2 linked regions of the Lonchura striata genome follow. The protein of the gene in region 2 interacts with the protein of the main gene of each other region in a biochemical or structural test. Links are inferred from orthologs where the notes say so. Each region holds a gene or a part of one and is shown on either strand. Other genes may lie near its edges.

Region 1 (10,398 bases), on a different chromosome or scaffold from region 2:
GACTGCTCATAAATGAAGCTATAACTATTTCCTTCTCTGTTCTAGATTGTCCGGCCATCAAATCATGCTACAATCCAGAGCATCGTAAAAGCAGTAGGAATCATTCCTGGCATCCCAGAACCCTGCTGTGTTCCTGACAAAATGAGCTCACTCAGTGTCCTGTTCTTAGATGAGAACAAAAATGTTGTTTTAAAGGTATATCCCAATATGTCAGTTGAAACTTGTGCCTGCCGATAAGTTGGTACAAACACACCTTTAACAAGGCCTACAGATCCTGCCTGACTGCTCTGGGAAGTTGTAGAGGAGAAATGAATCCACTTGTGCTGATGAACCAATGCAAGTCTCCAATTCCTCTACAGAAAGCACACGGAAAGACTAAAACAATGCACGTGCTTGCCTCAAAGGAGAGGTCGTACTGTCATTTGTCTTTCACATTCATCTTCCAGGAATTCAGTACTTCTACAGATACCTTCTAACCCACCTAGCCAAGATACCTGGTGTTTAGAGAGAAATTTAAGTGTAAATTTTCCATAATCAAAAGACTAAAATATGTTTTTATATGTTACTTTCTGACTATTTTATCTCTTCAGTTAACCAAGAAGATGGGAAGTGATCTTGCAAAGGCAGACTTATTTTAGAATATCACTTTTTTACACAAATCAGAAGTTTTTGCCTAAAACACTCATACTCTTAATATGTATATTTATACTGAAAAATGCTGTAATAAAGGGCTTAAAATGTATATTTTCTTCAGGATGCAAGTATAGTTCACTGCATAAGTTTTCATATAAACAATATGTTAATATAGTCATTTTTGGTTACCCTTCCTTAATATATAATTTGTTCTACAAAAGACATGTAATATCCCACATTTTTGGTTTGCTGGTGATTTCAGGTTGTCAAACATATTATCTGAGTAACACATACAATATAGTAATTTGTTCAAATACTAAAATAAAATAACCAAGATTTATATTTTTGTAAATTATTCTTTATAGTCTCTAGATTGTTACATGCTTTTAACAAAAGCTAATAAATTAAAGGTACAGTAGTATCTAAAATATTTGCTTGTTTTTCTATAAATGCACTTTCCTACATTCTGTTAATTAGATGGAAACTTGTAAATACATGTTAAGCTTGTCATAATGCACTTCAATAGATTAAAGATAGAAGGAAATGCTATGATCATCCAGACTGACCTCCTGCATAGCACAGATGAAAGAACCTTGCTCAGCAGTTTCTGCACCATGCATTATGGAACTTCTGTTTTGAGCTTGGGAATATCTTTGAAAAACTTGCATAAATTTGGCTTTAAAGATTTCATGTGATAGAATATCTCTACTGGACTACAAGTAGTTGTTCCAAAAGTTAGTGCTCTTTGTTCATATGCAGTGGCTTAATCCTAGACTGAATTTGATGAGCTTTAGCTTCAATTCAATGGATCTTACTGTAACCTATTTCATTAGATCCCTTTTATCTATTATCCAAAATACTTTCACTGTGTATTTTTAGTATAGAGAGTAGGGTCAAGTTACATTTTGGCTAAGATTTAAATAGATTGATTTCTTATTCTAAGCCTTAAAACAATTTCTCACAGCTCTCTTCTGAACTCTTTCCAGAACTTTCATTAACTTTCTTTTCAAACAATGAACATCAAAATGGGAAACATTTGGCAGTGGTTCCATTGGAAGTCTTTATAGAAATAAAGTCTCTGCATCCCTCTAACTCCTACACAATCCCCTGTTGATACTTTTATGGTAGCCTTTTAACTGCAGCAGCCTTTTAAGAGCTGGTGTTCCCATCATGGTGTCTGTCAATACTCTGGTTGTCCCCATGTTCTAGGACACACTTGCCACATGCTTCATTTTCACCCACCTGCTATAAAATAGCATAAAGAGATCAAGAGTGGAAGAAACATCTGAAGTCCCTGAGGAAGCACAAATTATAAGATATGGAGTGCTTCCTCCTCAAGAAGCAATCTAATTTTAGGCACTACCTTGTCCTGTTAAGAGTTGCTTTGTTTAAGGGAAGGGTGCTACACGCACTTCCTTCTAAAGAACAAATAACTGCAAGGCTCCTATCCTACTAAAGTTCTAGGTATATTCTGCCACCAATTTTCTATGCTCAGCTGGTGCAGTTTCTCAGAAAACAGAGGTATGTAAATGTGGTATTTCCAACATACAAAAAAGCAAGATTCAGCATACATGGGAGGCTTTGCTAGGTTACTCTGACAGAACTTCTTGCTAGTTCTTCCTAGAAAGCTCTGACTTAGAAGTAAAAAGTTCTATGGTGCCCTGTAGTGACTGTCAGTTATGCCTTACAAAAGATCACTGATCAAGTTTGCAGCTCTTCTCCTGAAGTATTTTTGCACTTTGTAAATCACTACAGTAATTTACACTATAATTACTGGGAAAAAACTTTGTATAATGTTGCTTCTAGAGACTTCCCTTAAAAAATTTACAATTTTGTGTTTTTATAAACCATAAGAAACTCAACTACAATTGAAAGAGTAAGCTAACATAGAAAGAAAAATTTAAGATTTGTCAGAAATTTACCATTCCTACAGAAAAGCCATAGTACAACGTTTTTCAAAGTATCTTAAATCCATGTTATTTCTGCTCTCTGCGAGAATCTACCTTTTTATATATGTCTAGTCTTGCTCCCATTTATCACTAGCTCTGAAAAGCCTGACATTAACTTAGTGTGCCTATATTCTCATCCACAGCATTTTATTTTTTCTTAAGGAATACTTGCTATATCTTGAATTAGTCCTTGGATAAAAACATTATTTCCAAGATGTGCTGATGCAAGCTATTATGGCAAGAGATTCCACACTTTGATCTATGGTCAATAGGATATAAGGAAAAATGCTACTGCTACACTCATAAGGATGCCTACAAAACTCCAAGAGGTTAAGACTGCATTTAAAGTTCTATTGGCAAGACTGTATATATTATACCTGTAAGTGTGATTGTTCTCAAAATATACCTTTGCTACACAAGTCATACACATCTCTTATTAGTAAAGCTTATTTCATTTGGAATTTACCTGTACTGGTCAATTCTTCAATGCAAAAAAAGGCTTTCAACCACTTTTAGTAGTTTAAGTTATTCCTTTTGGCATCTTTGTAATTTGGGTGGCTAATCTTTCTCTGGAAGGAGAAACTGCATTCGAAATGGCACAAATGCAGACAGCTGCTGCCAGGGGATGCTGATGCCCTCACTGTCTTGGTTCCAGCAGATCTTTTTTACTTCTCTGAACATCCTATAAATCATTCTGCTCAATGCTTGAGTTTATAGAGAAAGTTACTACTGATAAACACAGGTCAAGACAATTCCACTAACTAATCCTAAAAGAAAATGGTATGAGTAAAGACAGATAAAATAAGAAAACAGTTGATACTGGCCAGCAAAGTGTTAAAACCCATTTTTTCTAAAACAAAACTGATTTCATTCTTTCAGGCCACTGTTTAATTGCCAGCAGTAACAGCAACAGCTACAATGTACCTAGGTTTCTGTGAAATATTCAATTCACTTGCCAAGGCTGCATAATTAAAATAAACCACTGGACAATATTAATATGTTTTTGTATCACATTGATTAAAAAATGTCTCACTGCCAAACCTCAAAGAACAGCTTTCAAAAGGAATTTCCACTGAGTTAAACTGTTCATTGTAAAGTTTCTGCAAAGCTGACACTTGGCCTGACAGTATTTGACACCTTTATGTATGAACTTTGAGTCTGTATATAGCAACTCCCGCTGCATTTGCAGAAGAGAGATGTTTATATAGACCACTTGATCTAGCTGCACTCAATGTAATTAAAATTAATTTTAAAGTAGGCAGATACAGAGGTTCAGGTACCTAGTCTCAAGGAATGGAGGCTGCTCCTACTGAGTACAAGACTTCACCCTTGAAAGTCATAACTCTTAAGAATTTTGTGGCTGTCATAGATTTGTGATGCAGTTTGAGCACCCAGCATGATGCTATGGAATGGAAGCCAGTGAAAGCTTTGAAAATATACACACTAGAGCAGTGAACCACATAAAAAAAGGATATATTATTTCTTCATGTGGCACTGGTGGACTGCCACTAGAAAACTATATATAGCCCTAGGTTTCACCTTGTCAAGAAGGCCTTCAAATTCTGAAAGACAAACAAAAAACAAAGAAACCAAAACAGGGAGAGAAAATGTCTTTTGTTACTAAAGAGAACAATCTGTTTATCAGAAAGAAAACTGAGAAGTAATTTGATTACACTGTGCAAGCACTTTGAAAGGGGAAAATGTCAGTGCTATGGGACTCCTTAAATGAGCCAGAAAGTTACAAGAATTCCTGTCTAGAAGGTAAAGTCAGGCACAATGAAATAATGAACATGGCATGAAGGGGTTTTTAGCTGCAGGTGATAATATTTTAGCTAAAAAAATCAAAATTTTTGATTCTTTGACATATTCAGATAAAGTCTGTTGGCACTTAAAAATATATGTTTATCCAAACACAAACAATTTGACTCTGCATGTAGGTATAAAACACAAAGGCCCTGAGTAAATATAAGTCTTGCTATATGAGAGACCAGGATCAATGCCAAATAATCCTTTTTGACTTTATGTCATAGGAACATAATTAACCAGGATCTTGGATCCAAGTTGTCGCTTGAACAGAGTTGTTAGAAAAAATGATGCATTATTAGTACAGAAAAAACAATTATGTATCATTAGATTAAATCACAATACATTCATTAACATAAATAAACCTGGTTTTTCTTCTGTATCATGAGAAATTAATTTGCCTTGGCCTGTTCTTCTCATGCACACAATGTCTTCAGAGATAATCTTCTGTATCTTCAAAAGGACTTTTTATTTTCCATGTGGCCTTGGAAGGCCTGGTTCTGTCTTCATTTTGAGGTTGCTGAAAAAATGATTGGTTGTTCTTGGACTGGATCAACCATCATGAATCTATGAGATATATTGCATAAGATACTATAAAAACAAGCCTAAATTCCCATACACCAAAGGAATGAAAATGAACAAGCCTGCAAACAACATGAAACAAACTTGACACAAAACAGATTTCACTGTGTACAAACAATAGCCCTTGGCTGATAAACGGAAAGAAGTTTAAAGGTTGTTTGTAATGTCATGAGATCATGTCTTGCAGAATCACAGGTCTTTATCAAACTAATGGGCATTTTCTAATCATATGTGAAGGGATTATATAAATCATTTGTGAGATGTTATTTGTTAATAGCTAATAGAGTGATTTTGTTCTAGAGCTGTATTTTCTAGTCTTGCTGAAAACAGTGCAAACTTCTGTGTTCCTAAGAAAGCATCTCTCTGTGTTGGCAAGGAAATGATAGAAGAATGTAATTAAGCAAAGATGACCCTAAAGTGAAATGTGGATTCTTTACAATATACAATGTCCTTTCCACCAGCCACATGTGTTTGTCAGATGTTTACAGAATCTTCATTAACTAAGAGCTTTGCTAGATAACAGAAGCTGAAGCATGGCATCAATGACTCTGATAAGGACAAGTGTATGACCAATCTGCTTGACAACTGACAAGAGGCTGGGGTTTGAAGCAGACTGCAGAAAGAACACCAGAAAGTGATTTGCAAAGGGCATTCCAGTTGTTTGCCTTACATCTTCTTCCCTCTGTCTTTATTGAAACAAGACTGGCAATCAGCTAAAATACCCTTGTCCTCTTGTTTCTCCACCAGAAAGTAAATATAGAAGAAATGTGTTGTTTTGGAGTATTAGCTGCACTGTCTGTTTTCAACATCATTGCCTGTTTGACAAGAGGCAAGCCTTTGGAAGACTGGGACAGGCTATCAGCTATGGGAAAGTCTGATGCACACTTTCATGATCCCAGGGAAGTAGAAGATGAGACCCATTTCAACTTTAAATCTTTCTTGGAGAATATGAAGATGGATTTACTAAGGAGTTTGAATTTGTCAAGAGTACCCTCACAAGTGAAGACAAAAGAAGAACCACCACAGTTCATGATTGATTTATACAACAGATATGCTGCAGACAAGTCCTCCATCCCTGCATCCAATATTGTAAGGAGCTTCAGTACTGAAGGTAGGAAAAGTCCTCAATATGTGGACTACAATTTTTAAAGAAGTACCTTAATAGTAAATAGATCCTTTTGAAATTCAGAAGAAACTGAGTTCCTAACTTCCACAGATTCTTCAGAAATGAAACATTAAAATTTTCTATTATATTCTTACTATATCGTTTCTTTCAATTTTTAAAAAATGCAGTTACCTTTAGTTTTCTTCTTTGATATTTTCACTGTACAATATTCTCTTCTCAAATGCTTCAGCTAAGATGATGCACCAAATAACAAAGTTTACATGTTTCTCAATCCTAGATATTTCAAACTGAGTTTTTATGTTAGCATGCAAACTTTGATCACCTATAATTGAGACTGATGCTAGAGAGTTTTTCTCTTTTGGCAGGCTCTGTACATATTTAAAAACTCCAGCAACCAACTGAGAAATTTGTTGCTGGATTCCAGCAAGAAACAGCACTGTTCCTCCAAAATTCTGGGTTACACTAAGATTTATATGAAAATGGTCAATCATACTCATATCAACAGAAAAAAATTCAAGATCCCTGTTTATGTAACATTAAATAGACTTTTAAAATATCCGTCAGGCAGTAAAAAAGTTAGAAGTAAGTGCAGTCCTCGTTACGAAAATGAAGCAGGGAGAAATGAAGTTTCTGTTTATATTAAAAACAGACATACACAGGTAACAGCATTACAGAGAACTCCAAATTCCCAAATTAGTGTCCCTAATCCTGAAATAGAAAGAAATCTCAACAATAGGACCTAGATTATAGTTTCTATATCTGACTCTTCCCTGTGACTACTTTACAGGGTAAATGGTCTGAAGAAATGGCAGCAACAGCTAATTGAAATTCCCTAAAACCCAGTCATGATTAAGCAGTTAGCTTACACTGAGCATTAAATAGACATCAGGGATGACTTTTAAATACTACCAATCTGATCTTCCAGCCAAATACCTGCCCCTCCCAAGGCAGACTTGCTGGTACTGCATATAGATTTGCAGACAACAAACAAATGTGAACAAATCCACACAAATTCAAGGAATCCAGCCTGGAACAGTCTGGACCTGGGCATGAAAGACTGTTTAGTACCAAGACCCCCTTCAGACAGACACTGGACCTTCAATTCAGGACTTTCAAAAACTTTTCTATTTCCCCAAACTCCCAGTCTAAGCTGCCTTCAAACTTATCTGAAGACAACAACAAAAGCTTCAGCACAGCCAGTTCTTAAAGACACTTATATATGTATATTAGAGCAGAAGAGTATCAAACCATTAATTTTTTTACAAATTCTTTCTGTAAAAATATCTTTAACAAATTGCTACATCTGAAAACTCTGCACATGCCTTATTTATGTATTTAATACTGCCCAGCATCATCCATAGCTTGGTCTAGGCAGCCTCTTTATGCTTCCCCTCACACACTCACCTGGCTTTGTAATCACAGTAAAATACTACCAACACCAGGGACTTCCATTTCCTCTTTTCACTCTCTGCCCTTGAAACTTGGCCAGAAGACAGGATTTTTCTTTCTTTATTTTTTTTTAATGCTGTGTTTCCATGCTCTTATTTTATCCCCAAAATATATAGTCTATTAAAATCAAGTTACTTGGATAGTCAGAAACACTGTAACCACATTTTAATTTCCTATTGCAGATGTTGTTTCTTTAGATTCACCAGAAGAAAACCCATTTCAGAAACACATTTTGTTCTTCAACATCTCTATTCCACAATATGAGGAAATCACCAGAGCTGAACTGAGAATTTATATCTCCTGTCACAGGGAAACTGGGTCTCTCTCAAGGCTGGAAGGCAACATGGTAATTTATGATGTTCTAGATGATGGCCACTGGGAAAACCCAGAAAGTACCAAATCTTCCCTTGTTTCCCACAATATCCAGGAATGTGGTTGGAAGATGTTTGAAGTGTCCAGCGCTGTGAAAAGATGGGTCAGGGCAGACAAACTGGAGACTAAAAATAAGCTAGAGGTTGTTATAGAGACTAAAGCTCTGAGTGGTTTTACCTGTGGGAAGCTGGATGTCAGTGTTACTCCTGACGCAAAAAACCTGCCCCTGTTAATAGTGTTCTCCAATGACCGTAGCAATGGGACCAAGGAGACCAAAGTGGAGCTCCGCGAGATGATTGTTCACGAGCAAGAAAGTGTGCTCAAGAAACTAGGGAAGAACAACACTTCATCTGAAGAGGAACAGCAGGGAGAGGAAAAGGCCATCACTGGATCCCACCGGCATTCCTCCAGAAGCAAGAGAAGTGTTGGAGCCAACCACTGCAGGAGAACTTCCCTCCATGTGAACTTTGAAGAGATTGGCTGGGATTCCTGGATCATCGCACCAAAAGATTATGAGGCTTTTGAGTGTAAAGGGGGTTGCTTCTTCCCTCTGACAGACAACGTCACCCCAACTAAACATGCTATTGTCCAAACTCTGGTGCATCTCCAAAATCCAAAAAAAGCCTCCAAGGCCTGTTGTGTTCCGACCAAACTGGATTCAATCTCCATTCTTTATAAGGATGATGCTGGTGTGCCCACTTTGATATATAACTATGAAGGGATGAAAGTGGCAGAATGTGGCTGCAGGTAGTATACAAGGCAGAATCTCTAAGAAAAGGAACATCCCCTTTATCTGTCCTGTGCAAATCTGTACAACAGTGATGCAAATGAAGACGATTGCAAACAGGGTTAAGAGCATGGTATGGGGCTGATTTTTGTTGCTGCTTGTTTTAAGGGAAAATTGGCATTTAAAGAATGCCAATCTTTGTAAATAGCCTGCATTATATATCATGGCAAAGTGAATACTGGATTAAAATATTGTGAGATTGAATGAAGTATGCATTATCTGGTGATACAATGTCAATGCCTTATTTCAAACTTTCTGTTTAATCAGCAGTATTTTAGGTCACAAACTAGAGGATTTTCAGTGGGGGTTTATGATGTCCTGCAAATGTTTAACTGCTCTTGAAATCTAATTCTCTCAGTTAACTGTGACATTTTCAACTTGGGTAAAACTCGGTAAATGGAATGTTGTCTGCATGATAAAGTCAGGAATCTAAATCCAGGAAGCCTTTGCTCATATCAGTAATCTCAGAGGCTTTTACAGGCAAATTATTTGTTCCTGTAAGTGAAGATCTGCAGTATTCAAAACAGAACAGACGCTCACTTATTTCATTCCCAAGTTTCCTTCTGTGGGTAGCAGGTGCCTTAGTTTCAGCTTTCTTATCCTCAACGTCCCTATTTTTACCCCTTTATGGCACACACTTGAATGATAAGAAGTGCAGCCTTCCGCTTCTAAGACACTGTTTCCTAGGAGGAGCAGCAGCCCTTATCGCCGCACAAAGATAAGGAGCCACTTTGACCTACTGCATATTCTTAGTATTTCTTTGCAAGAACATGCAGTCAAATGGTGTCCAGCCTTAGAAGTTGTATCCTAAGAGCAGTGGGGGTTGACAGAGCTCAGCACTTTTGAAAAGCTCAGGCTGCTTATTTAGAGGCCTACATTTGTTGTTCAGAGTCTGGAATGAAGTTCTGATTTTTTTAAAATGTCTTCTTAGGAGAAACGCTATTTTACATGCAAAACTCTTTCAACCCTTAGAAGCCTGGGAAAAATTGAAAACTTCTGTGTTACATTGCTGTATGAGAAATATACTATCATACTATAATTCTTCTGATTTCAGTTGTATTTTCACTAAACAAGGATGCCATCTTTCCTGCAATTAAAGTAAACTTCCTTTGATGCTAATAGAGGTTGTGCCTGTAAAAGGACAAACTGTCTTCTGTTGGTTGAGGTGACAGGGGTAAGTGCTGTACAACATCACCATAGTGCACCTCACTTCTACTCTTTCACCACCTTACACACATCTACCTGACAACCCTTTTGAACCAAATCCTTAACAAACTTGCATCCATTAAAAAAGGTGAAGAATATTGATGAGGCAAAAATCTAAACAGTACCCTAATGTATGGAAGCAATGGAATTTAAATCAATACATATGTTTTGAATTAAGACAGCCTGTGGGCAAGTCGAATTTATTTGGCATGAACAGGTCAGCTTGAAACCCAATACACGGTTTATTTACTATTGTTAACCTAATACAGAGCAAATAGCAGGTGAGTGGGAGCAGGGCAGTTGTAATTCCATCAAGAACTGCTGGTTAGATCACAACCCATGAGCACAAAGCACGATTCACTGGAATTCTTGAACTGATTTATAGTCATTTTCTTTAGAACTGGTCTGCAATTGGATCAGATCTGGGATCTGGGTCCATGCAAACTCCATACATCCCTAGCTGCATGCCATTAACCTCTTAAGCTTCCCAC
Region 2 (10,995 bases):
CACAAAACCACCAGAACACAGCCACACTTCCCTGGGGAGGGGAGCACCCAGATAACATCTGCAGAGAGCCTTTTGATGAACAAGCTGCTTCTGTCACAAGTTTTCCTGTGAAGCTCCCCTCCAATCCTGCCTCACCTACTGCAGAGGCACAGGAAGATTGTTCTGAAGTATTTTATTATTACTTCAGGATCTTCTACTCCTTCTGAAATCAAGCATGCACACAGGTTTATCTAAGAAGTATATTAGAGGGCACATGGAGAACCTTGACCCGGGCACTTTGTTTTCTTGTTTAGTTAATGTGCATTCATCTCAGCCTCTGGAGCTCCTACAGATGGGTGCAAACCTACACCCACTTCTATCCAAGCATCTACAAATATTTTAAAGCCTAATAACAACACAGATGCTCTTTCTCCAGTATCTTAGTCAGAACGGGGAAATATTTTCACTCTCTTAACAAAGATGATTAAACTCGCTGGAAATTCCTCTCCATTTGCAGTACATTTACAGCATTTCATAGTGCAGTTTACAGATAATAAAATAAATCACTTTGAACCGAAATAGCACTTCCACACCCACCACGCAGGAAAAAAAACCACAACATTTTCACCTATTAAAAGAACCCCGGTATTAATTGGCCATGTAAACATCTGCAGAAAATAGCTGTATTTAAAAATAAATTAACAAATACAGCAAACCAAACCCCCAGTCGCTGAAAGAGCCTGACAGGAGCTGGAGCTGCACACCAAAGTCAGCCATCAATACACCTGAACTCCAAGATTTTCTTAACCATCGTCAATATTTCAAAATACAGGACTGATTTTCACACTAAAGACTGAAAAAGAAAATTCTGGCGATGATGATGTTAGAACCAATCCATCAGGTACGGTTTTAAACTGAAATAAGGCAGTTAAGAAACACTACTCATAAAAACGCCTGCACTTCAAGCTTAAAATCTTGCATAATCTTGTAGTTCTCATCAAAAACCCAACAGTTTACTGTTGAATTTATTTATTTTTAGACTTGCCTAAAATTTTAGAGTGCAGTGCTGGTGTGAGTGGAAAATAGTACAATAATTGTTAAGTACCGGAACACTTAATGTGTAATACTGGAATAACCACCAAAACAATGTCATTAACATGAGAAGCAGCCCGGATTGCAGGCGGTTTCCTGCTCATTTAGCCAAGATTAATTCTTCACAGGCAAGAGGAACATTCTTTTCACCTTACCAAGGACAACCCGAGCGAGAAACGTTAAAGAAAAGACGCTCTTTATTGCTTAGCTGTTCTTTTTTATTAAGTCTGATAGGTAATGTCAACAAAAACCACTGTTCTGTGCTCTAGGCAAAAGGATCTTAGAGGTGGACGTGGAAGAGAGACAGACACGGAGAGCAGATGGCAGCAAGTCTTTCAGAAACTGTTAGTGAGAGGGGGGAAAAAAGTTTCCCTACAAAACATATTGCTGAATTAAAAGGAACGCTGCTGAGCTGAAAAATCAGGCATTAGGAAAAGACGACACACACGTCTTCACTGCAAGGCAAAAGCTGTCAGAAATGATGATTTGTTTCAAAAGAAGAATAAAAATTAACCATCCCGAACACCCTTCTGGCTGTCCTTAAGCCGCTGTGCCGTTTCCCTGGTTAGCACAGGCAGGGTTTTTGGGTTTCTCCTGGCAGCGCTCGCCATTTCACAGCACATTTAGCGCACACAGTGCGGATCGATAGCACTACAGACACAAGACGAGACTTATCCATTTACTAACCACAGCAAAACGGCCTCTTCAGCAAAATCCTCCAACTCCATAGCGCTGGAAATTTAAAAGGCATCCTTACAGGGATCTCATTACTCCCTTCTCTCGGTCACACGGGGAGGCTGAGCACTTGTCTGCGAGCTTTTAGCCTGATAAACAAGTGTAGCTTTGCACACCCTGCAAGGATGCTAAAAACCCACCCAGAGCAATAAAGACACGCTCCGAATGCGGGCACAGAGCGCCAGGCTGGCTTGTGAAGCCGCGTTAGATCCTCACTCAGCTCCTAAGAGGGGTTTTTGTGAGACTGACGGAGCTCCAAGCACAAATGGACCAACAGTTGCCCAACCACTGGTTGCTGCCATAACAATTTTCCTCTTGGAAAAGCGTGGGGAAGTCCTCGCACCCCGCTCGCTTCCCAAGACTCAGCGCTGGCGTTTGAACCCCCAGTTCTGCTGTTTGACAGAAAAAATTAGTAGATTTTTTTCTTTTCTGCGCTAAAAGGCAGTGACATAACGAATACCAAAATACAAAGCGCTGCAAATGGTTCTTTAGAAACTGAAAGCCCGGCTTTTCACCCCAGTTCTGTTGGTACATCTCTACACGCACACACCCCTCGCTGTCACCAAAGGACGAGCCCAGCCTTTCAGAGCGGCACCTATTCTAAATTAATGAAGCATTAACGAAGGTCGCTATTCACCAGTGAATAGTCCGGGGTAAGAGAGATCAAACTGAAGGAAAGAGCATTTCAGCTGGGTAATTCTTATTTAAAACCAGCATCCAACACCGATAGCTGCGCTGCCAGGTTACTTATGTGACACTAGGTGGTTATATCTCCACATTTATTCCACACAATTGATCTGAAATCCAAGCGCTGCGAGCGTTTCAAGTGCTCACGTTATTTATATTTTTAAGAATAAAGACGAAAGCAGCTTCTGCCTTTACAGTCGCTGCCATCCACAAGTATTAGCCTCCTGAAAAAAAAATAAGATTTCTTCTCATTCATACAGAGCCAGCCCAAGTTTTCGAGTGCTGACCCCAAAGCCCTCAGTTTAAAGTGACAAATCCAGGAACATTCACTTACCTGATGAACAAGAGATAAGAAAAACAGCGAACGCCAACTTAGTAGCAGCTCCCATTTTCCAATGCTGTTAAAACATTTAAGTGACTTTAAGTATCCAGTTTTCTGGGTCCTGCAAGCTGGAAAAATCTCCCTTCTTGCTGAACCGTTATAAAGCAATTTATAGCAACATTTCTGCAGCAGGTAGTGTTCATAAAACACTAAAAATCAGGTTTGTTTAGACAGTGACGACCTCCCCAAGGCTCTTTCTAGACAGAATCCGGGTTGAGGGAGGGATAAATATATTTGGAACCGTGCTTCAAAACACACGTGTCATTTGGCTTCTGTACAAACGGTGGCAAAATTCAATTAATAAAAGTAATGCTACCAATCCACTTAAAAAAAAAAATAAAAACCAAAACAAAATAAGTCAACGATTAAGCTGCTGAACTCGACGAAGTCTCTGAGTCTCCAAATGTTTTCCACATCAGGCGCCGAGAAGGATCATCCCTCGTGGGTGCGAGTGTCGGGGGGTCGGATCGGGATCAGTCCAAGGCGATGTTTTCGTCCTGCCTCCCCCACTTCACACCTCCTGTAGTGTTTGGGAGAAAAGCAGCTCCATTCCAGTTCCAAACCTCGGGGCGAAGAGAGGAAGTTTTTTTTTTTTTGTCAGTTTGTAGATTAAAAACTACCTTAAAAACCAGCCACCAGCTACACGTGGGTTTTCTTGAATAAATGCTGAGGGATTTAGCGTAGCCCAGGAGAGGGAAAGGGGGGAAACAACAGTCTGGGAACAAACAAACCTTCGGGCTTCCCGGGAAGTGGCAAATCTCTAGTCCTTGGCCAGGCAGCGAGAGCAGTGCATCCCCCCTTCTTCACCGCCCTTCTCCAACACCAGCACTCCCGAATCCCAGCAAGATTTCCAATTCTTCTAGGAGATTTCCATCCCCTCCCCCCGCGAGAGGCTATATTTGGTATTTAAACACACAAGAGTGGCTGGGGAGGGGGGTACCAAAAAAAAATTAAAAAAAAAATGCAGTATCCAGGCGCTGGGAAGGAGGGTGGTATATTCTTTGTGGCAAATCCTTGCCGAGCGCCGTGCTTCCAGGAGAAATGGGCTTCTTTGGAAGGGAGGCGGCGGTGCCTCACGGCTGGGGCTGGATGGATCCCGGCTCCTCTCGCAGCTCACGGCTCCTGGATGGATCCACGCTCCTCTCCCTCCTCACGGACACATCTCCTCCTGGCCGCCCCGCCGCTGCTCACACACGGAGGCTCCACAAAATCCACCCCTCCGAGCTCAATCCAGTTCTTGCCTCTTTCTTTTTTTTTTTTTTTTTTTTTTTTCCTCCTCTTTTTTCTTTTCCTCCTAGGAGCGAGCAGCAGGAGACGGCAGGGGCGGGGAGGCAGAGCCTTCTCCCCGCGCCTCCCACACGGCGGAGCGGGGAGCGATCCCCTCCTCACCCTCTCCCCTAACTCTGACCCCGGCTCAACTCTCCGGTCTCCCGGGCGGCGGAGGCAGCGCGGCTCAGCCCAACTTTGTCCCTCCAGCAGTGCAGCTTAGGGGCTGGCGAGGCGAAAAGGCCGAGCCGGGGGATTCTCTCCGAGCGGCGGCGGCCGTGCCTAGAGCCCGCCGAGTGTCGCTGGCAGCGCGGAACAGCCCTCGGTGCCCTGCTGCCGCTGCTCCCCCGTGGTAATCTCATATCTACCCATTCACCCGTGTGGCGTGTGGAGAACCGGCCCAAGATGGCGGCGCCCGGGCGATTGTTTTTGTTTCCTCTCCGCCTCCCCCTCCTTCCCCACGGCCGCGGCGGCCGCGCCGGATTGACAGCCGCGCCACCCAATCACAACGCGGGGTTTGTGCCTTAGCCCCGCCCACCTCCTCTCGCCCCTCCTATCGGCGGCGGGGCGGAGCGCGCGCCCCCACGCTGGCCCCGCCCCCCGCGGCCCGCGCGCGCCGCCTCACGGGCGCGCTCCCGCCCGCCCTTCCCGCCCCTCAGGGCGCGGCCCCTCAGGCGCCCTCGCCCCGCTCCGCCCGACCCCGCTCCCCGCCGTCGCTAATTCCCCTTCGCGGGGCTCCTTCGAGGTGCTGGGGGGCTCCGGTGCTGGAGGCAAAACGCTGCCGGCGGCCACGCGGTGGGAGCTGGCTGGGAGGGGTCAGGACGGTGTAACACAGCGGGGGGAGGCTGGGGCCGCTGCCGCTGGGGTCAAATGTTGGCCTGGGCTTCTGCCTCATCGCCACCCCAGCCCCAAAATGTCCTGCAGGTAGTGCAGGTGAGAGCTACGGTGGTCTCTGTTTGTGGGCACGTTGCTCAGGAGCATCACTGCTGCTACAGCACAGAATCAGAGTCACAGAAGAGTTTGGGTTAAAAAGAACCTTTAAAAATCATTCATTTCCAACCCCCTGCCATGCTCAGGGACACCTTCCACCATCCCAGCTCCTCCAAGCCTTGTCCAGCCTGGCCTTGGGCACTGCCAGGGGTCCATGGACAGCCTCAGCTTCTCTGGGCACCCACCTTCAGAGGGAGCAATCCCTTCCCAATATCCCATCTAATTGAAACCTGCCCTTTTGTAAGCTGGAATCCATTCCAGTTGCCCTCCGTGCTGTTCTCTCCGTGCTTCTGCTGGGCTCCCCCGAGGTGCTGGAAGGCACCTGGAGTGTGTTTGTGTGTCCTGTCCAGGTCACTAATAGACTCTGCTCATTCACAAGTTTGGTGTCACTCCTTACAATTTTTTTTTTTTTTTTTCTTAGCTGGATGCCATAAAACACATCTCTTGTCTCTGGATGAAAAGGAAGACGTGGCTCTTAGATCTGGAGATCTCTGTGGGAAAACAGAAGAGCCTTAGTGCTGGCCTTTGATTTCTGTATTCTATAAAGATCTGTAGTTGCACAAGCAACAAGTGCCAAGTTCTCTGAGAGCTGGTTATCCTGTTCACCACCCCCAGGTGTTAGGTGCTCCCAGATTCCTTTCAAACTGTTTGGTGGCATGGACTAAGGGGTTTTTTTGGGATGTGAATAGCCGGTGTTACTAAACTGGAAGGAAAATTATCTGTATTTCACATATATGAATATACAGCCAAGTCAAGGCTTAGCCACACTGCTAAGCTGTAACTCACAGATCAGTAACTAGACCTGGTGCTCCACCAGGATCCAAGAAATTGATCTATTTCAGTTTTTTTTACAATGAGGTGTCTGCTTGAGTTCTTAATCAGACAACCTTGGTGTTTCTTTGTCGTGTCCCAACACTTCCCAACATTAAATTCATCCAGTGACCATATTTTTTTTATGATTTGAAATCTCCCAAACACAAAATAAGATGTCAGGGCTTGTGCACATCTAGAAGCATCAAGACATGTGGCAACACCTTTTATACCATCTTTTATCCAAGTATTTCAGAGTGATTTACAAGCGTTAATTAATGTTAAGTGTTACAACACTCCTACTTAATCTGTAGTTTTTAATATTCTTCAATAGCAGAATATTTAAACGTGACCTGTTCTGCAGGTTGTGTTTTCACTTGGCTCAGCTTCTTCAGAACACTGGTCATGTTGCCACATGAGTAGGAAATCATAGCTAAAAATATTGCTGGTGTGTGTGTGAATATATATTTATATATGTACTTCCCATTGCAAGGATTTGGTTTAGTTGTCATTGTTGTTGTTTTTTTTTTTCTTTTTTCTGAAAGAGTGTAAATTATGGTCCATATTTCTATTTTACTGGTTGTTTTTGATAAAAATAGAATAAATGTGTCACCTATATAAGAGAATTTGCCATGGCAAGGAGGTGTCTCTTACTCAAGGAGCTTATTATCCTTAGGCAGGGGTTGCTTTTTGCTGGCAGGATTCCTCTGGCAGAGCAAATCCTTCTGGCCATCCAGGAAATCTTGCAAACCCAGTCATTCTGTGGGGTTACTCTTATCAGCACCACAAGGAGAGCTCATTCCTTTTCCTCGCCACTTTTCAGCATGGCCAGGGGTCTGCAATGAGTGTTGGTGCTGGGATCAAGGAGATCTTCCAACCTGCACTGGGGATTTGCTCCCATTTAATTACACACACAAAAAAATTATATAGTTTGGTGTAGATATTCTACAGACCTTAGGAGAAATTGCCAACCGTTTTTATGAGGTACTTGATGCAAAATGCTTCAAGGGCTTTGGGCTAGGCTGTTGTTTTATTGCTAGTAAAAGGATGAGTTTTATCCCAAGCAGACACATTAAATGTCAGCACAGTTGCTGTCTCCTCTTTATTTTTAAATGTCTTTCTCATGTGAATTTTGGGAGTGTTTCCCTTTTTCACCTTTTGGCTCATCATTTCTATTTTCCTTTCGCCTCAAACTCCAGATCTTTTTTTTTCCCCCTTCCAAGATCAATCTGTCTGTGCATTTTTAATGAATCATTTACTGTGACATATGAGCACCGAAGACACAGTGTCAGGGACTTAAGCATCTGTGGAGAGCAGGAGGAGATGAAATGGATGTGATCTTAGCTTCAGTCTTTTGTTCATGTGGGATGGGACTTTGCCTAGAGGCAGCGCAAATATAACTTTTCCTTCTAGGGAGTAATGAGGAGAGTTAAAACCCAGCAATGTCTCATTTTTCTCTCTGGAGCACTGCTAGGAATTGAGGATTTCAGCTGTGCCTTTGCTATTCCCACTCTTAGCAGTGAATCAACACAAAACCCAACGTGGAAGGAGAGGAGTTTTTGTGCAGAACTCATTCAGAACACCTAGAGAAACATTTCTGAATGCAAAATGGGAAGCATGGTGTTGATAACATCAGGAGTGACACCAACAGAGAGAATCCTTGTCATTATCTCTTTCATCTTTCCTTGTGGTCTAAGTCATTCCCCCTTTGAAACTCTGGAGGAAGAGAAGACCCCATTCAGGCACTGTCCTTAAAAAACCAACAAAAAAAAAAAAAAAAAAAAAAAAAAAAAAAAAAAAAAAAAAGGACCAAAATGTCAAGAAATTAATCTGTCCCAGTGTTGCCCTCTTTACCAGCCAGCTTCAGTTTCCTTTGGGAAAAGGTGCTGGATGGCAGCCTAAATTATTTTATTTTAGAAAAGGTAAATAACTGCTTTAAAGTATTTTTGCTTTCATATGCATGATTTATGTGAAACTCACCATATTCCAAAAGAGTTTTAATACAGACTTTCAGTTCTGTTGCTGTGGACAAATAATAAAATTCCTACAAACTATTCATTATTTTGCACTTTTTACTCTGTTCCAAAACTCTTAAGATACTTCACAACTATATGAGTATCACAACTTGAAAACAAGAGAGAATGTGGACTTAATTAACCTTTTAAATGCTGCTGATGAACTGAAATGAAATCCAAAGCTTGCCTCTGCAATGCTTTTGGGTTGGGGCGACATAGCTGAGCATCAAAATGTTCTCCTTTAATGTTTCAAATCAAACTTTTAAATTTTAGATGCAGTTGCTGAATCCAGCTGAGCATCCACAAATTCAGATACTGGCTGAAATCCCAGCCCTGTTTTGGTGCAGGGCTAAAGTGGGATCATTTTATTCACATGAGCAGTGACAGGATTTGGACTGGATCACGTTCTCTAAAGCTGTTTTTGTAGCGAGTTTGTGTGCACAAATTCCCTTTTCAATTAAACACCTGGAGCCTATAGACCCTACGCCACCAGGGATTATTTTCCCTGCCTCAGGTTTAAAAAGATACAAAATATTACAGAAATTAACTTTGATACAAGTTTCATCAAGTTGTTTCCACAAAAGTTACATTTAAACCAAGGATTCTTTTTCCTTTTTGACCTGTTAGCCAGACTTTTGCTTCCTTAAAACAGGGATTGCAAGCTACCTAACCTATTTTCCTGGAGGAGGTAGGGATGTTTCTTTCTAGAATTTGCAGTCTTGTCAGAAGAAACCATCCCACTGGAGCTTCTGGCTGCTTTCAGACACTCCCTTTTCTCTGAGGGGCACTTCGTGGTGTCACAGGGTTTTATCACTGTGGCATTTATCAGCTATGATTTAATCCATATTTCACAGCAAAATTGCATTTTCTGGATATTTTCCTCTAGTCCTCATTTGTACTGTAGGATCTTTTTTTTGTAGGATCCTTTGACTCTTCATGAAGAGTCCAATCTGAATTCCTAAAATCCCAGTCAGTGCCATGAAAATGAGATTCTGCAGGTCTGTGTAGAGATCTCCCTTCTCAGAATGCACCATAATTTATATATTCTGTTACAAACTGACTCTGTGTTCATCACAGAATGCAAAAGTTCTGCAACATTGTCATGTTTTCAACGTTATTTTTGAAGGATTCTTAAAATATGTGACAAGCGTTTGTTGTTTTTTTGCTACAGCGTCCTGACAGTGATAGCAGATTTTAAAGATCTTTTGCACTGCATTTGAAAGGCTTGATACATATATTTGTTGATAAAGATTAAAATATTTTAGGCCAACAATTTGTAATTAAATAGTTATAAGAAGTAGGAGTGTGAAGTGGCCAAGTGTAGAGAAGAGATTGTCAGAGCTTCAGAGTATTCAACTGTGTGCTGTTTTGAATTATTGTGTCAATATGACTTCTGGTTGTTTTGAAATACAAATACATGAATAGCTGTAATTACTTCTGGTGTCATTCAAAATATCCTAGAAGCTTTCTGAAGGGTGGGGTCAGGAGAGCTGCCTGATGCTTTGGTAATTTAAAACCTCAGTAAGGAGAACATTCCTGGAAATATTTTTTGGTTCAGATCGATGTCACAGAGAAGATGAGTGCTGGGGAAGACAAATGAATGCCATTTTTTGCTTCAACAGATAATAATAAAGTTTCCTGCAGTATTGATATAAAATGATAATGGGAAGTGGAATTCTGGAAGGGTCAGATGGATTGGAGGATTCTGGGACTCAAATATTAGTTACTGGTAGTGCTAAAAGCTAAGAAGTTGAGGATTCAGAATGTGACTGGTTTCAGAAAGGGATGGGAACAGGGAGTCAAATGTTTATCAAATCATCCACGGGTGTTGCAGCTGACAATTTGCCATTTGGAATTTTACAAAAGGAAGGTGAAGACCCCTGGTAATGGACAAACTGCTAATAATTTTATAGTTTTTATTGCTGATAACTGGGGAGTGCAGAATTAACCCTTACAAGCACATGACATGGCACAAGCAGTTGTCCTGCTTCCAGAGGCAGCAGGTTCAGGCTAATAAAGCCTTCCTGCAAAGGAAAAGGATTGCAATATGATTTGAGGCCCATTTCCTTAAGGGAAATGCAGCTGCTGCTCTTGCTGCTGTTATCTGAACCCTTTGTTAGAGGAGGGATGTGGGAATGGAGCAGGAATCCTGATGAAGTCACAGGTGTGACTCTGGGACAATGGCTGTGAATTGCTCTAAATCAATGTGTTTTGGTTGCAGCCCATAATCCCTGATTTAGGGATTTCATAATTTCTGCACAGATTTTAAGTAGCATTAAAATAATCCTGCCAACAGCAGCTCAGGCACCCCTTTGTTCCTGCTCACTGTGACAGAAATAATTCCTCCCCCAAGTGCTGTAATTCCTGAAAATCTGGCACATTACAGGTTTCATAGGAAGAAGTGTGGAAGATTCCCAAATTTGACCCATTTCAGATTTTAAGAAGGACAAATTTCTAGGCTTGAAAGTCTCTCAGGGAAGCCCTAATAGCTGCTCACTTCTTTTTCATGAGCACAATCCATCTGGAACATTTCTCTCTGGTGATTGTGCTCTGACAAGATGGATGGGCTGAACCATTCCAGGGATTTTAAATCCTGAAAATTCAAACCCAGAATCTTTCTTCTGCAACCAGCAGAACATCCCAGCCTGGTGCTCTTATCCATTGTTCAGACCACCGGGGAGCTAAATCCTGCTCCAGCTTCTACTGCTGAATAGTTTTGGAGTTAATTCATCTGCACATAATTCTATAATAATTCCAATTCAGACATTGAACAGATAATGTTAATATCTGAGATTAAATTCTGTTTAATATCTGAGGCAAAATCCTGTTTAACCCCTAGAGTGAGAAGTTTTTTTTTAGCTCAGGGTGTTTTAAATGCACAAAATTTAGCCATTTTTCCCATTTACTTAGAAAATTTTGTACACAGCATCAACCTTTCTGATATAAAGGCTCTTTTTTTTTGCCTTGAAATTTTTTAGGCAATGAAAATGTACTTCTAATTTTGTAGTGATACCTAGTACATACACCCAGTTTTAGTAA

What was found. The genes of interacting proteins can lie anywhere in the genome.
Region 1: the proteins of ACVR2A (region 2) and GDF2 form a complex in vitro, tested with the Homo sapiens proteins (2 studies listed by BioGRID). The link is inferred for Lonchura striata from reciprocal best matches to the Homo sapiens genes ACVR2A and GDF2.

What each region holds. Positions count from the first base shown.
Region 1 is NC_134609.1:14,653,944-14,664,341, reverse strand, and holds GDF2 (growth/differentiation factor 2), read left to right. Parts: upstream 1-5,524; 5' UTR 5,525-5,732; coding exon 5,733-6,078; intron 6,079-7,724; coding exon 7,725-8,665; 3' UTR 8,666-8,712; downstream 8,713-10,398. Other genes in the region: GDF10 (growth/differentiation factor 10), read left to right, coding at 46-237. UniProt on the Homo sapiens protein: Potent circulating inhibitor of angiogenesis. Signals through the type I activin receptor ACVRL1 but not other Alks. Signaling through SMAD1 in endothelial cells requires TGF-beta coreceptor endoglin/ENG.
Region 2 is NC_134610.1:2,545,503-2,556,497, forward strand, and holds the start of ACVR2A (activin receptor type-2A), read right to left. Parts: upstream 4,583-10,995; 5' UTR 2,883-4,582; coding exon 2,828-2,882; intron 1-2,827. UniProt on the Homo sapiens protein: On ligand binding, forms a receptor complex consisting of two type II and two type I transmembrane serine/threonine kinases.